Linked DNA regions of Danio rerio. The protein of the gene in region 1 interacts with the protein of each later gene in a biochemical or structural test. Links are inferred from orthologs where the notes say so. Each region holds a gene or a part of one and is shown on either strand. Other genes may lie near its edges.

Region 1 (3,656 bases):
ACAAGAGATAGCACTCCGGAACGGGCCGTTTTATGTTGAAGGAATGGATCTTAGTCCCAAAGGTGAAAGCTCAAAAATAAATGTATTGAAATAATTGTGTTCTCCACTGACGGGAATTAATTTCATTGTTTGTCTATTTTTTTTTTACAGAGATAATTCAGAAGGTGCGGAATGGCCAGAAACCATACTTTAGGCCCACTACAGACAACAGCCGGCACTGTGAAGAGCTGACCATCTTAATGGAAGGCTGTTGGTCTGAAGATCCTGCAGAAAGACCCGACTTCAGCCATATTAAGGTCTTCATTGCAAAATTTAACAAGTAAGCACTTAAACTGATTATATTTACATTTGTGCCTTTTAATAGTTTGTCCAACAAGTCTATAAAATATAGTCATTTTATTAGTGTATTATAGTATGCAAAAAAGTTTACGAAACAGATTTTCAAAAATTTTAATTAAATTTTTTTTTTACAATTTTAAGTCATTTTAATTAAATGAAAAATATTTGTGCTATTTTTAATGCATAGAAAAGCTGTAGCTAGGACTTTACATGCTACAGAAGGGAAATTGAATAGTATTTTAATAGTCAAATCTAAAATAAAACACTGGTGTTTTCCATATGAATTAATACAGAAAATTTGTAATGGTACAAAAGTGATTCAGAAGTGAGCTGTTTGTTTGTCTTTTGGTGTTTAATTAGTTGATAACGTGGATTTTAGGTTTTGTCAGAAAGTGACCAAATCCACTGTCAAGCCAACATCCTAAACCAACGTCATAGTGACGTCATATACTGACATTTATTCATCAGGTATGGCAACCAAAATCCAACGTCTGGTAGATTTCATATTGGTAACGTCCAAACAAAGTCAAGCTGTAACATCATTAGACGTTGATATTTTGTTGCTTTTAGGTTGCGATGGAAAGCAAACACACGTTTGGGGCACAACGTGAAACTGATGTCATGTTGACATCCTGTGCCTGCTGGGGGTAAATTGAATAAACGAAACTGTCCCTAGTGTATGAGTGTGTGTGTGTGAATGAGTGGTTTTGGGTGTTTCCCAATATTGGGTTGCAACTAAAAGGGCAATTATATGCTGGAATAGTTAATCGTTCATTTTACTGTGATGACCTCTAAAATAGAGAATAAGCCGAAGGAAAATGAATGAATGAATGAATGACTTATATATTATAGGTATAGGCTACTGTCACTTTAAGAATGAATGTGTACATTTTGTTCAGCAGTCAAAAGCATGCATTTTCTGTTCATGTTCATTCAAGACATAACTGACAAAAAGTGAATACTAACAAGATATGCTTTTTGAAGTAATTATTTGTTTATTTAGAAAAAAAAATTGATAGCATGCTTGAATAAGCAAGTCTTAAAATTGATTGGAAACTTTATTTCATCTTTATTTCTCTAGCGCTTTTACAATGTAGATTGTGTCAAAGCAGCTTAACATAGAAGATTATAGTAAATTGAAACTGTCAGTTCAGTTTTCAAAATTTCAGTTCAGAGTAGTTCAGTTCAGTGTGGGTTAATTAACCCAGAAACTTTATTGACAAAGCACCAAATGGCTGCATTGGGCAAGTGATAATTACTTTGACAGCATTCAGCTCTGTTAAGATGCATTATGCTGATTCATTTATGCTGTTTGTGAAGGCGCAGAGCATTTTCAAATTCTCCTTTGATATGTGGATTCATTTACTCATTCATCCTTCATGCCATAGTGAATATATATTTGTGGGCATTTATGCCTTTAGCAGATCCCTTGCTGACATTTAAGCCCTGGCAGGCAGTAATTACTGCACACCTTTTAAAGAAATGAAAACAAAGCACACCATAACAAGTAATTGCACATACACTTACATTTTCTGTTCACAAAGGTTTTGGGAGCATCAGTTTTTAGTCTTGCTTTTATTTACATTTTTAAGATAAGATTATTCTGATTGTTGAAAGTTCTGCAGATGTTTAAATGATGGATATCAACATCTTTATTGAAATTATGGAACATGTTCTATATCTAAAAGACCAACAATGTTTGTTTTAACTGACATTTATTGATGCTAAAGTAAGCATCATGAATTAACAGATTAACAGTCATTGAACACAAAATCATTAATATAGATTATATTCTTTATATTGTGGTAATGGTTACTGATGATGATTAACAGAACACGTAAGAGGTATTACCATATTCTGGCTACACAGAGAATACAAGCTAAGATTTTTTCGTAGCACTTTACAATAAGGTTGTATTAGTTAATACACTTACTAACATGAACAAATAATAAAGGTGATGCAGTGGCGCAGTAGGTAGTGCTGTCGCCTCACAGCAAAAAGGTTGTTGGGTCGCTGGTTCGAACCCTGGCTCAGTTGGCATTTCTGTGTGAAGTTTGCATGTTCTCCCTGCGTTTGTGTGGATTTCCTCCGGGTGCTCCGGTTTCCCCCACAGTCCAAAGACATGTGGTACAGGTGAATTGAGTAGGCTAAATTGTCCATAGTGTATGAGTGTGTGTGTGTGTGTGTGTGTGTGTGTGTGTGTGTGTGTGTGTAGATATTTCCCAGAAATGGGTTGTGGCTGGAAGGGCATCCGCTGCGTAAAAACATGCTAGATAAGTTGGCAGTTCATTCCCCTGTGGAAGGTGGATGTGCACATTGAGATGCAGGGATAATGGTTCACACGAGTTGTTCATAACGCGAAGATTCATTCACAAATGAAATGCTTCCTGCGTTAGAATTAAAAAAGCAGGAGAGGGTGTGTGTTTCAGGACACAGATTAAATTTAATAGGTAGAGAGGATAATACATTTCCATGCACACAAACACATGCTTTTTGTCAGCAATGCCCATGCAATCACTTGTCCATCGATATAGAAAAGTGATGTAAAATGATCATTTTCGTAATAACAAAAAAATATTTACATACTGATCTCCAATCATAGATATATGTATACATGTGTATATATCTCTGGCTCCGGATAGCCAGTCTGCCACTGCACCTTGGTCCCATAGTCATTTCAAAGGAGCGATACCCTGTACTAAAATGGCGGCTCTATTGACGCATTCCTTCCAATAGACAACAATAGTGTACTTCATGTTAGTAAATACATTAATGAGCATTAACTAATAAAAACCTTATTTTAAAGTGTTTTAAAGGTTAGAGAATCAAAATTTTACATTTTTTTTGTTGCATGAAACACACTTTTTAGCACATTAGCATGAAATACAACACTTTATTTAAAAAACAAGCTCACTATTTTTACGAGAAACTAACTAAAATCACTAATTGCCAACTGCATTTATGAGCTCAACAGAATTTGTACGATTGTTATAATTGTAAATGTGTTTAAATGTAATGGCACAATGTGACTAATCATAAGTTTTCACTTATATTCAATAGAAGAAGCTGTAATGGGCCGACTTACTGATTTACTGATTTGATTTTCTGATTTCTACATTTCTATCTTAATGCAAAATAATAATAACATGTAAAGCATTTTGTAAAAATGATTTTGAAACGATTGGTTTCTCAAAATTATGAATGAACTATTTTGTTTTTAAAACTAAATGTTTACTGATTTGACAGCTCGACTGCTCCATGATTAAAGGTGGGGGACACATTTGCACAGATGTAATAATTACATTTAATTTGACATT
Region 2 (4,375 bases), on another chromosome or scaffold:
TCGACCCAATGTATTCGACCCATATTCGACCCAAACCCAAAGGTTTTTTTCAACACAATTTTAACAACACTTTTAGATACCAATGATTGGGTTATTATTATTTTTATTTAATTTAAACAACACTTTTAAATACCAACAGTTGGGTCTTTCCATATTTGAGCCAAAACTGGGTTAATTTTGACCCAACAATAGGTTCATTTTTTCCAAATACATTTAAATGACACTTTTTAACCCAATTGTTTCTTTTGTCCAAATTTGACCAAATGCTGGATTTATTTTTCAATTAAATTTAAATATCTATTTTAACCCAGTGGTTTGTCCATTTTTTTTGACCCAACAATTGTTCAATACAATTTAAACAACACTTTTAGATACCAACGGTTGGGTTTGTCCCTATTTGACCCAACATTTGGGTTCCTTTTTCCCAATCAATTTTAAGCAACAGTTTTTAACCCGGGGTAAAACAACCCAGCATTGTTTATAGAGTCAATGCAGAATGTAAATGTCATGTGTTTGGAGTATTAAAAACTCTGCATTAGTGCAGAACTCAATGCAGTCTACCACAAACACGCTGCTAATAAAACTCTAAAGTCATTAAAAACACTGCAGCAACCTTAATCATCCCATATTTTGATTTGTTTCAGAGCTCAGAACTCACCATTAGTACTCACTATACTCACATCTGTGCAGAACACATACTTTATAACACATATTTTAAACAATTTATATACTGTAAAAATGTTACTTGTCACATATTTGGAGTATTTGAAGCTGGAATCTGTGTAGAACACGGTTGTTAAACAAACTTTGCTAAACCTAAATGGCTTTTTTGAGAATTAGTACTAAACATTTGGACAGAGTAGAAGTTTGTTGATAATCCAATTTATCCTTTCTTAAAATTAAATTCAAATATAATGATCATAAAAATCCAAACTGCTGCTTTAAAGCAGTATTTCCAGCTGATCTGACACTATAGGCTAAACTAAAATAAACTAATTCAGTCATACTAAACAAGACCTTTTAAATAAATTAGTTTTATATCAAACACATTTTAGATGACAAAACATGAACTTAGTTGTAATATCATCTAATTAAAAATTCTTTCAGCTATTAAAAACTAGTAATAAGAGTAATATTAATGAAACCGTAATTTCAGTTCTTCGCATTACTGTCATCAAAGTCTATTATTTAATAATTTTAACAACAATTTATTTTATTTGGTCCTTTTTTTAAGTACAGTCTCAGAAATAAAGATACAAAGCTGTCGCTGGGTATAGCTAATTAATAAAAGGTACTTTTTAGGTAAGTAAAATTACACTTTTAGTTCTAATTTGTACCTTTAAAATACCAATACAGACCATTTCGGTGCAAACATGCAGCTTTTGATTAAGCTGACAGCTCATTTACCTTTTAATATGCAAGTGCATAGTGGCAACAGGTGACATGTTTAAAACTGATTAACTGTATGTTATATTATTAGTACTTGTTTTTATGTTGAAATTATCATTAATTAGATAGAATCGGAGAATTAACACAGATCGCGCCAATATTTGTCTTAAGCATCGCCTAATTTGTGTTTGTTTGGCGTTATGAGGAGAAACAATCACAAATAAATCAATCAAATCATTATATGCTGGAAGAATTTGATAAAATACAGATGTTAAATCCTAGAAAACTCCGTTTATCTTCTTTTCCCCCAGAAAAGCGGTCTTTCATGCAACTGTCAGCGTTTATATTTGGTCTTAATTGAATAGTTGTCAGATTTATGAGTTGATGCGCAATCCGATTCCTAAACAAACCTGATTTAATTTAAAACAGTCAATTTATGTATTTATAGAGTACTTTTTTAAGCAAGAGGCTGTTAATATAATGTCAAAAGCAAATCTTTAAAATGAATGAAAATGTTTTCTTAAAAAACATTGCGTCGTGAGAACAAGTGTCGCTTTTGGGAGTTCCCGAAGATGAGGATAATGGACGTGTACATTTCGACCTCAAAATTATATTAGTTTATTTAAAAACTCACAGTTTTACACATATCATGGCTTATTTTCACCGACGCGTCTTTTAATAGAGCTATCAGCTACTTAAAAACTTTTAGCCTATATAAAAAGCCCACCTATTATCGGCAAACAAAGAAAGCAGAAATCACACCTTTGAGGTTTTATATTCGCACATTCAGACATAATTCTTCGAAATATAGTTTCAGAAAAGCAAACTCTAAACAGGGAAATTATATTAGCAGCCAATGACTATTTAAGTTCACATTCCTAAAATAATTAGCAATTTTAAGTCGCCTACTTACATGCGATTTCAGACCGAATATTCAAAGTTGTGGAAAGAAAATAAGTTGGCACCATCTGCTCATAACAGCATGTCATTAATTAATCTGTATTAGTTTTTAAAATTCTTCTTTAACATCTTATGTGCGAATATAAAACCAACCTCAATTCACGCACAATAAATTAAATTAAATAGCGGCAATGTTGATTTTAAGTCATAGGCTACATGCGATTATAATAAAAAATAAGTTGTGCTCATGACACTTTAATAATCATTCTGTATTTGCCTTTTAAAAATAATCTCATTCACACTTTTATCGAACGTCAATAAAGCCAACTTTACCTCAAATAATTACACCGCCTAAATAATCGATAGGAAACAAGCACCTGTCGGCATCAAACTCACCCTCTGTTCAGCCTGTGTCAGAGGTTTAGTCTCTGTCGTGCTGACTGAAAGGAGAGTCAGAATAAGTCCACAAGCCAGCAAATGCGAGATGATCATGGTGATGGAGATGCTGATTCTGGGTCAGTGTTAAAAAGAAAAGCTGCTTTAATGTCGTCTTGAAGAAAGCACGCCCTTCATTTACTCCCAGAGGTGTCCAGCTCTACTCTTTACTCTAAGAAAATTCTGCTCAGGGTTTTTATAGGCGATATGACATCACTCCTGTGACGTCACACCAGTTACCCGCCTCCCTTTAAAAAAAAAACCCCTTTGGCAGTTTCTCCAGGTCTCTGCGTCATAATAAGTTACCGGCCGTCGTATCAGTGACCGGCGCCGTGTCTTTGAGGAGATCTGAGATGGATGTTTAGGTTTTTTAGTCACTGTTTGAGAAGCTACAGGTGGGGAAACTACAATCAGACGTGAATTCATTCATGATAACTGATGAATCACTGCGGACACTTGAACAATCAAACTTTTGTTGTATGAAAAAAGATGTTCGTCATGTAGTTAATTAAAACACTCTGTTTTAATGCCATACGAAGTCTAAACGTGCTCATGTCCCACGTGGAAATCACAGTACTACAGTGTTTTTAATCACATCATAGTAAAGTGTATTTTCCCGTCTGTTCGGAGAAATAGAAAAATATCATGAAATCACTGTTTTAATGCCACAAGAAGTCTAAAACTGCTTACAAACCGCATTAATTTATTTTATAGTAAATACGACAGTGTTTATATAACAAAGTCTGTTTTTTTCTTTGGTCTGAAGAGAAGTAGAAAAAGATGTTGATTTGACATTTTGTTGATTAAACCTCTCTGTTTTAATGCCATAAGAAGTCCTAAACAGCTTACAAACCGCGCGAATGATTCAGAACAATACTATAGTAAAATCTATCTATCCGTCCGTCCATCCATCCATCCATCCATCCATCCATCCATCCATCCATCCATCCATCCATCCATCTGCCCGTCTGTCCACCCATCCATCTGCCCATCCATTCATACATCCATCCATCCATCCGTCTGTCCATCCATCTATCCATCCGTCTGTCCGTTCGTCCATCCATCCATCCATCCATCCATCCATCCATCCATCCATCTGCCCGTCTGTCCACCCATCCATCTGCCCATCCATTTATACATCCATCCATTCATCCATCCATTCATCCATCCATCCGTCCGTCCGTCCGTTCGTCCATCCATCCATCCATCCATCCACCCATCCGTCTGTCCGTCCATCCATCCATCCATCCATCCATCCATCCATCCATCCATCTGCCCATCCATCCATCTGTCCATCCATCCGTCTGTCCGTCCATCCATCCGCCCATCCATCTGTCCGTCCATCCATCCATCCATCCATCCGCCCATCCATCTGTCCGTCCATCCATCCATCCATCCGTCCATCCATCCATCCATCCATCCATCCATCCATCTGCCCGTCCATCCATCCGTCCATCCATCCATCTATCCAAAATTAATTAAAATAACTTTTAAAACTTTTAAAAATTAATAAAAAATGAATAAAAATAAATGAATATTGAAGTAAATAATGTTTTATTGCAACACTTATCCTAATATGTCTTTTCATCCACGTCTTTTAGAATTTTTAGTTCAATTAAAAATAAATAAATGTATAAACCTTCATGAATAC
Region 3 (4,400 bases), on another chromosome or scaffold:
AAAATTGGTCTTAAACTGGAATTAAAATGAATATACAATTAGTAATTTATTAAATAATAGGTTATGAAATAAATAAATAAACATTTTAGAACATTTAGAAACATTAAAAGGATCAAATAATATAAGATATAGCATAAAAAAATAAAAATAGAAATATTACAACATTATTGTACCATTAGAACAGTGTTTAAGATCCACGTGCAGTTTATTATGAATTTTTCAGACAGGCAATGGTCAACAGGTACAAAAAATATCATGAGGGTAATTCAGAAGTGTAGTCGAGGTCACAGGCAAAGAGGTCAGTGCAGGCGGCAAACAGCATAAACAATTAAACAAGGCAATGATCAAAAAGCAAGGCTTGACAGGAATAACGCTTGCAAATGTTTTTAGAGAAACAAGACTCAGCAAAGAATATTTGTGAATGAGATGTTTTATAGTCTGAGTAGGGAGAGCACTGAAAAGAACTGAAACTGATGTTTACCAATTGAGCATCGTGCCAATGCCACAGCCTACTGAGTATTGTTGCTGACCATGTCCATCCCTTTATTACCACAGTGTACCCATCTTCTGATGGCTGCTTTCAGCAAAAAAACGCGCCATGTCACAAATCATCTCAGACTGGGGTTTCTTGAAGATGACAATGAGTTCACTGTACTCAAATGACCTCCACAGTCACCAGACCTCAATCCAATAGAGCATCCTTGGGATGTGGTGGAACAGGAGATTCAAATGCATGGATGTGCAGCTGACAAATCAGCAGCAACTACGTGATGCTATCATGTCAATATGGACCTTGTTAAATCCATGCCACGAAGGATTAAGGCGATTCTGAAGCAAAAGGGGGTTCAACCCGGTAATAGTAAGGTGTACCTAATAAAGTGGCCGGTCAGTGTATCTCTATATATTATTTATTAAACCTATATTATTTCAAACTACTAAAATGTCAATAAAATGCACTTTGTTAAACTGTAAAGTTTAATTTTCAACATTGAAAGAGATCAACATCCCATAATACAATTCACAACCGTTTATAAACAGAAAATACAGAAAACCTATAATAAACAGGTTTTTTTTTATACAGTGTCGTAACAGTGTAGTAAAATATTATGTGCGGTCATCATGCCAACAACACAAGAAATCAGTCAGATAAAACCTCTCCAATAAACATATTTTACATATAGTCCACAAAGTCATCCCTTCAGTCTGCATCATTGGCCTATATATAGGATTGCGGTCTGCTTTAACCCCTTATGGTATACTCAGTTGTAGTTTGTATCTGATGCCGGAAGCATGTGAGCCACTCGTGTGCAGCGGATTCATTCCCCATGATGCCTGAGGTCACTGTTTGTGTCCGAGTTACCAGGACTTCTCCAGGCCTGCGAAAAACAGCCACTTAAAAGGAAATCTGCCCCAGCAAGCGTTATCACAGACGAGGTGTCGGAATGCACTTCACACGCTTTACCACGGATGAGCCACTGACAGCCAACTGTCCCTATATAAGAGCCAAGCCAGTTCAGAGGGCAAGAAAACGCATTCAGAGACACTCAGAGATGGCCGGGGGACTAATTCTGACAGGACTGCTGCTCCTGGTTTGGCAGCAGACGGATGTACAAGCGCACACGTTGAGCAGACACAGCTCTGACAGCAACATGGCCAAGCTCAAGGTATTTGGGTTTATGTTTAACCAATTCAATGTGAGGTAAACAGTCAGTGCTCTTAAAAGTTAGTGGTTTTTCGTCACTGAAACAACTTCTTTTACAACGTTTTGTACAGTTGAAGTTTTCTGTTGATGTTGAAGGTTCTTTATGTGACTTTCAATATCGAAAAAATAAGAAGTAAAATTATTAGATACTCTTAAAAGGTCATTGGCAGCATGTTTACATAAAGAATCTTTAACATTCATGGAAACTTTCCAATTCTCCAAAAGTATTGTGATTCACCTATTAACAACTTCCGTTGGACAAATGGTTCTTATTGTGCGAGGGATTTTTATATGCACAGTCATTTTTCAAATCTTTATGACACACAAGGCTTTTAGTTAAAAATGATTGCAAATTACTTATGCACATTTTCTATTAGACAAAAGGTTCTTATAGTATACAAAAAAGTACTTAGATGCACCTGTGGAACAACATTCCATTGGGCAAAAGATTCTTAGTGGAAACACAATCTTTAGATTCACCTATGGAAATTTTCCATTGGACAAATAGTTCTTATTGTGAGAAAAAAATATTGGATGCACCTATGGAAATTTTACATTGGACAAAAAGTTCTTATAGTAGAATTTTTCAGATGCATATATGTAATTGTTCCACTGGACAAAAGGTTTTTATAATTGAAAATAAAATCTTTACATGCATCTACGGAACTTTCCATTAGACAAAAGGTTCTTATAGTGGAAAGAACATCTTTAGATTTACCTATGGACATTTTTTATTTTGGACAAATGGTTCTTATTTTTAGAAACATTTTTTTTTAGATGCACCTATGGAAATTTTCCTCTGAAAAAAAAGTTCTTATAGTAGAAAGAAAAAATACTTAGATGCACCAATGGAACTATCCATTAGACATCATTCCAATGGAACATTCCATTGGATAAAAGGTTCTTATAATGGTAAAAGAAATCTTTACAAGGACCTATGGAACTCAGCATTTAACAAACAGTTCTTATTGTGGAAAAAATATTGGATGCGCTTATGGAAATTTTACATTGGACAAAATAGATTTTTACATATAGCGGGAACATTTTATTTAATTCAAAAGCTTCTTATTGTGTGCTTTTTTTTTTTTTGCACCTATAATAATATTCCATTGGACAAAAGATCCTTATAATGGAACAAAAAATATCTTTACATGCACCTATGAAACTTTCCATTAGACAAAAGCTTCTTATAGTGGGAAAAAAAATCTTTAGACTCTTCTATAGTTTTCTACTAAACAAATGGTTCCTTTTGTTGGAAACATTCTTTTTAGATATGCCTATGGAAACTTTCCATTAGACCAAAGGTCCTCATAGTGGAAAAAAACCTATAGGTTCACCTATGGACTTTTTGTATTGGACAAATGATTCTTATTTTTGGAAACATTCTTTTTAGATGCACCAATGGAAATTTTCCGTTAGCCAAAAGGTTCTTATAGTTAAAGAATATTTAAATGCATAAATGAAAATGTTTCACTTGACAAACGTTCTTATATTGAAAAAAATCTTTACATGCATCTGGAACTTTGCATTAGACAAAAGGCTCTTACAGTGGAAAAAAAAATCTTTAGATTCACTTATGGACGTTTTCCATTGAACACATGGTTCTTATTGCTGGAAACATTCTTTTTAGATACACCCATAGAAATTTTACATTGAAAAAAGGGTTCCTATAGCAAAAAAAAATATTTAGATCCATATATGGAAATGTTTTACTGGACAAAAGGTTCTTAAAGTGAAAAAAAAAACTTGTATATGTACCTATGGAATTTTTTATTAGACAAAAGGTTCTCATAATAGGGAAAAAATCTTTACATGGATCCATGGAACTTTAGATTCACCTATATGGAAATTTTCCATTGGACAAATGGTTCTTATTGTGAGAACATATATTGGATGCACCTATGGAAATTTTCTATTGGAAAAAAGGTTTATATAAAGTGGAAACAAAATTATTTAGTTGCACATATTAAAATTTTTCCTTAAACAAAAGGTTCTTATTCTGGAATTTTTTTTGTTGCACTTATTGAACTTTCTATCAGACAAAAGTTCTTATAGTGGACAAATATCTTTAGATTCACCTTAGGAAATGTTCAATTGGGAAAAAAAAAGGTTTTTATAGAGGAAAAACACTTCGCAAATACCTATGGAATTTTCCATTGGACAAAATGTTCTTTAAAAAATTTTTTGATTTACTTTTTGAAATATTCCATTGCATAAATGGTTCTTATAGTGGAAAAAAAGGTTCTTTAAATTCTCGAAATGTTGTTCATGCTATGGAAAAAGGGTTCTTTTCGCAGTTGTCTACTGAAAAGTTCTTTTGGAAAGCAAAAATGGTTCATCATAGCAAAAAAAAAAAAGAAAAAAAAAGAAGGTTGAGTTGTATTGGAGCATTTATTAATGGTATTTTTAAATGATCTTGGGATTCAATATATAAAAGGTACAATATATAAAGGTCAAGGTCATCTGCGCACCACTTTTGTCCAAAGTTGATTCCAAGAGTTTAGGATTAGATTATTGCTTGACACTATTAGCAAGTTTGGCATGCTGTCCTGGGAGAGAACCATAAACTTGGGAATAATTGAGCCCAGGGATCCCGGCAAATCTTTAAGCATGTAAGGGGGTCCGAGATCAGGTAAGTCTTGAGAGCTCCTCGCGGTAAAGAAGGAAAAGAAAGCGATGGGGTGGAAGAAGGGATTCT

The links.
Region 2: the proteins of npr2 (region 1) and nppc form a complex in vitro, tested with the Homo sapiens proteins (3 studies listed by BioGRID). The link is inferred for Danio rerio from reciprocal best matches to the Homo sapiens genes NPR2 and NPPC.
Region 3: the proteins of npr2 (region 1) and nppa form a complex in vitro, tested with the Homo sapiens proteins (3 studies listed by BioGRID). The link is inferred for Danio rerio from reciprocal best matches to the Homo sapiens genes NPR2 and NPPA.

What each region holds. Positions count from the first base shown.
Region 1 is NC_133180.1:59,952,687-59,956,342, forward strand, and holds part of npr2 (atrial natriuretic peptide receptor 2), read left to right. Parts: coding exon 1-62; intron 63-150; coding exon 151-319; intron 320-3,656. UniProt on the Homo sapiens protein: Receptor for the C-type natriuretic peptide NPPC/CNP hormone. Has guanylate cyclase activity upon binding of its ligand. May play a role in the regulation of skeletal growth.
Region 2 is NC_133197.1:40,812,272-40,816,646, forward strand, and holds the start of nppc (C-type natriuretic peptide precursor), read right to left. Parts: upstream 2,896-4,375; 5' UTR 2,782-2,895; coding exon 2,686-2,781; intron 1-2,685.
Region 3 is NC_133183.1:58,370,541-58,374,940, forward strand, and holds the start of nppa (natriuretic peptides A precursor), read left to right. Parts: upstream 1-1,512; 5' UTR 1,513-1,550; coding exon 1,551-1,664; intron 1,665-4,400.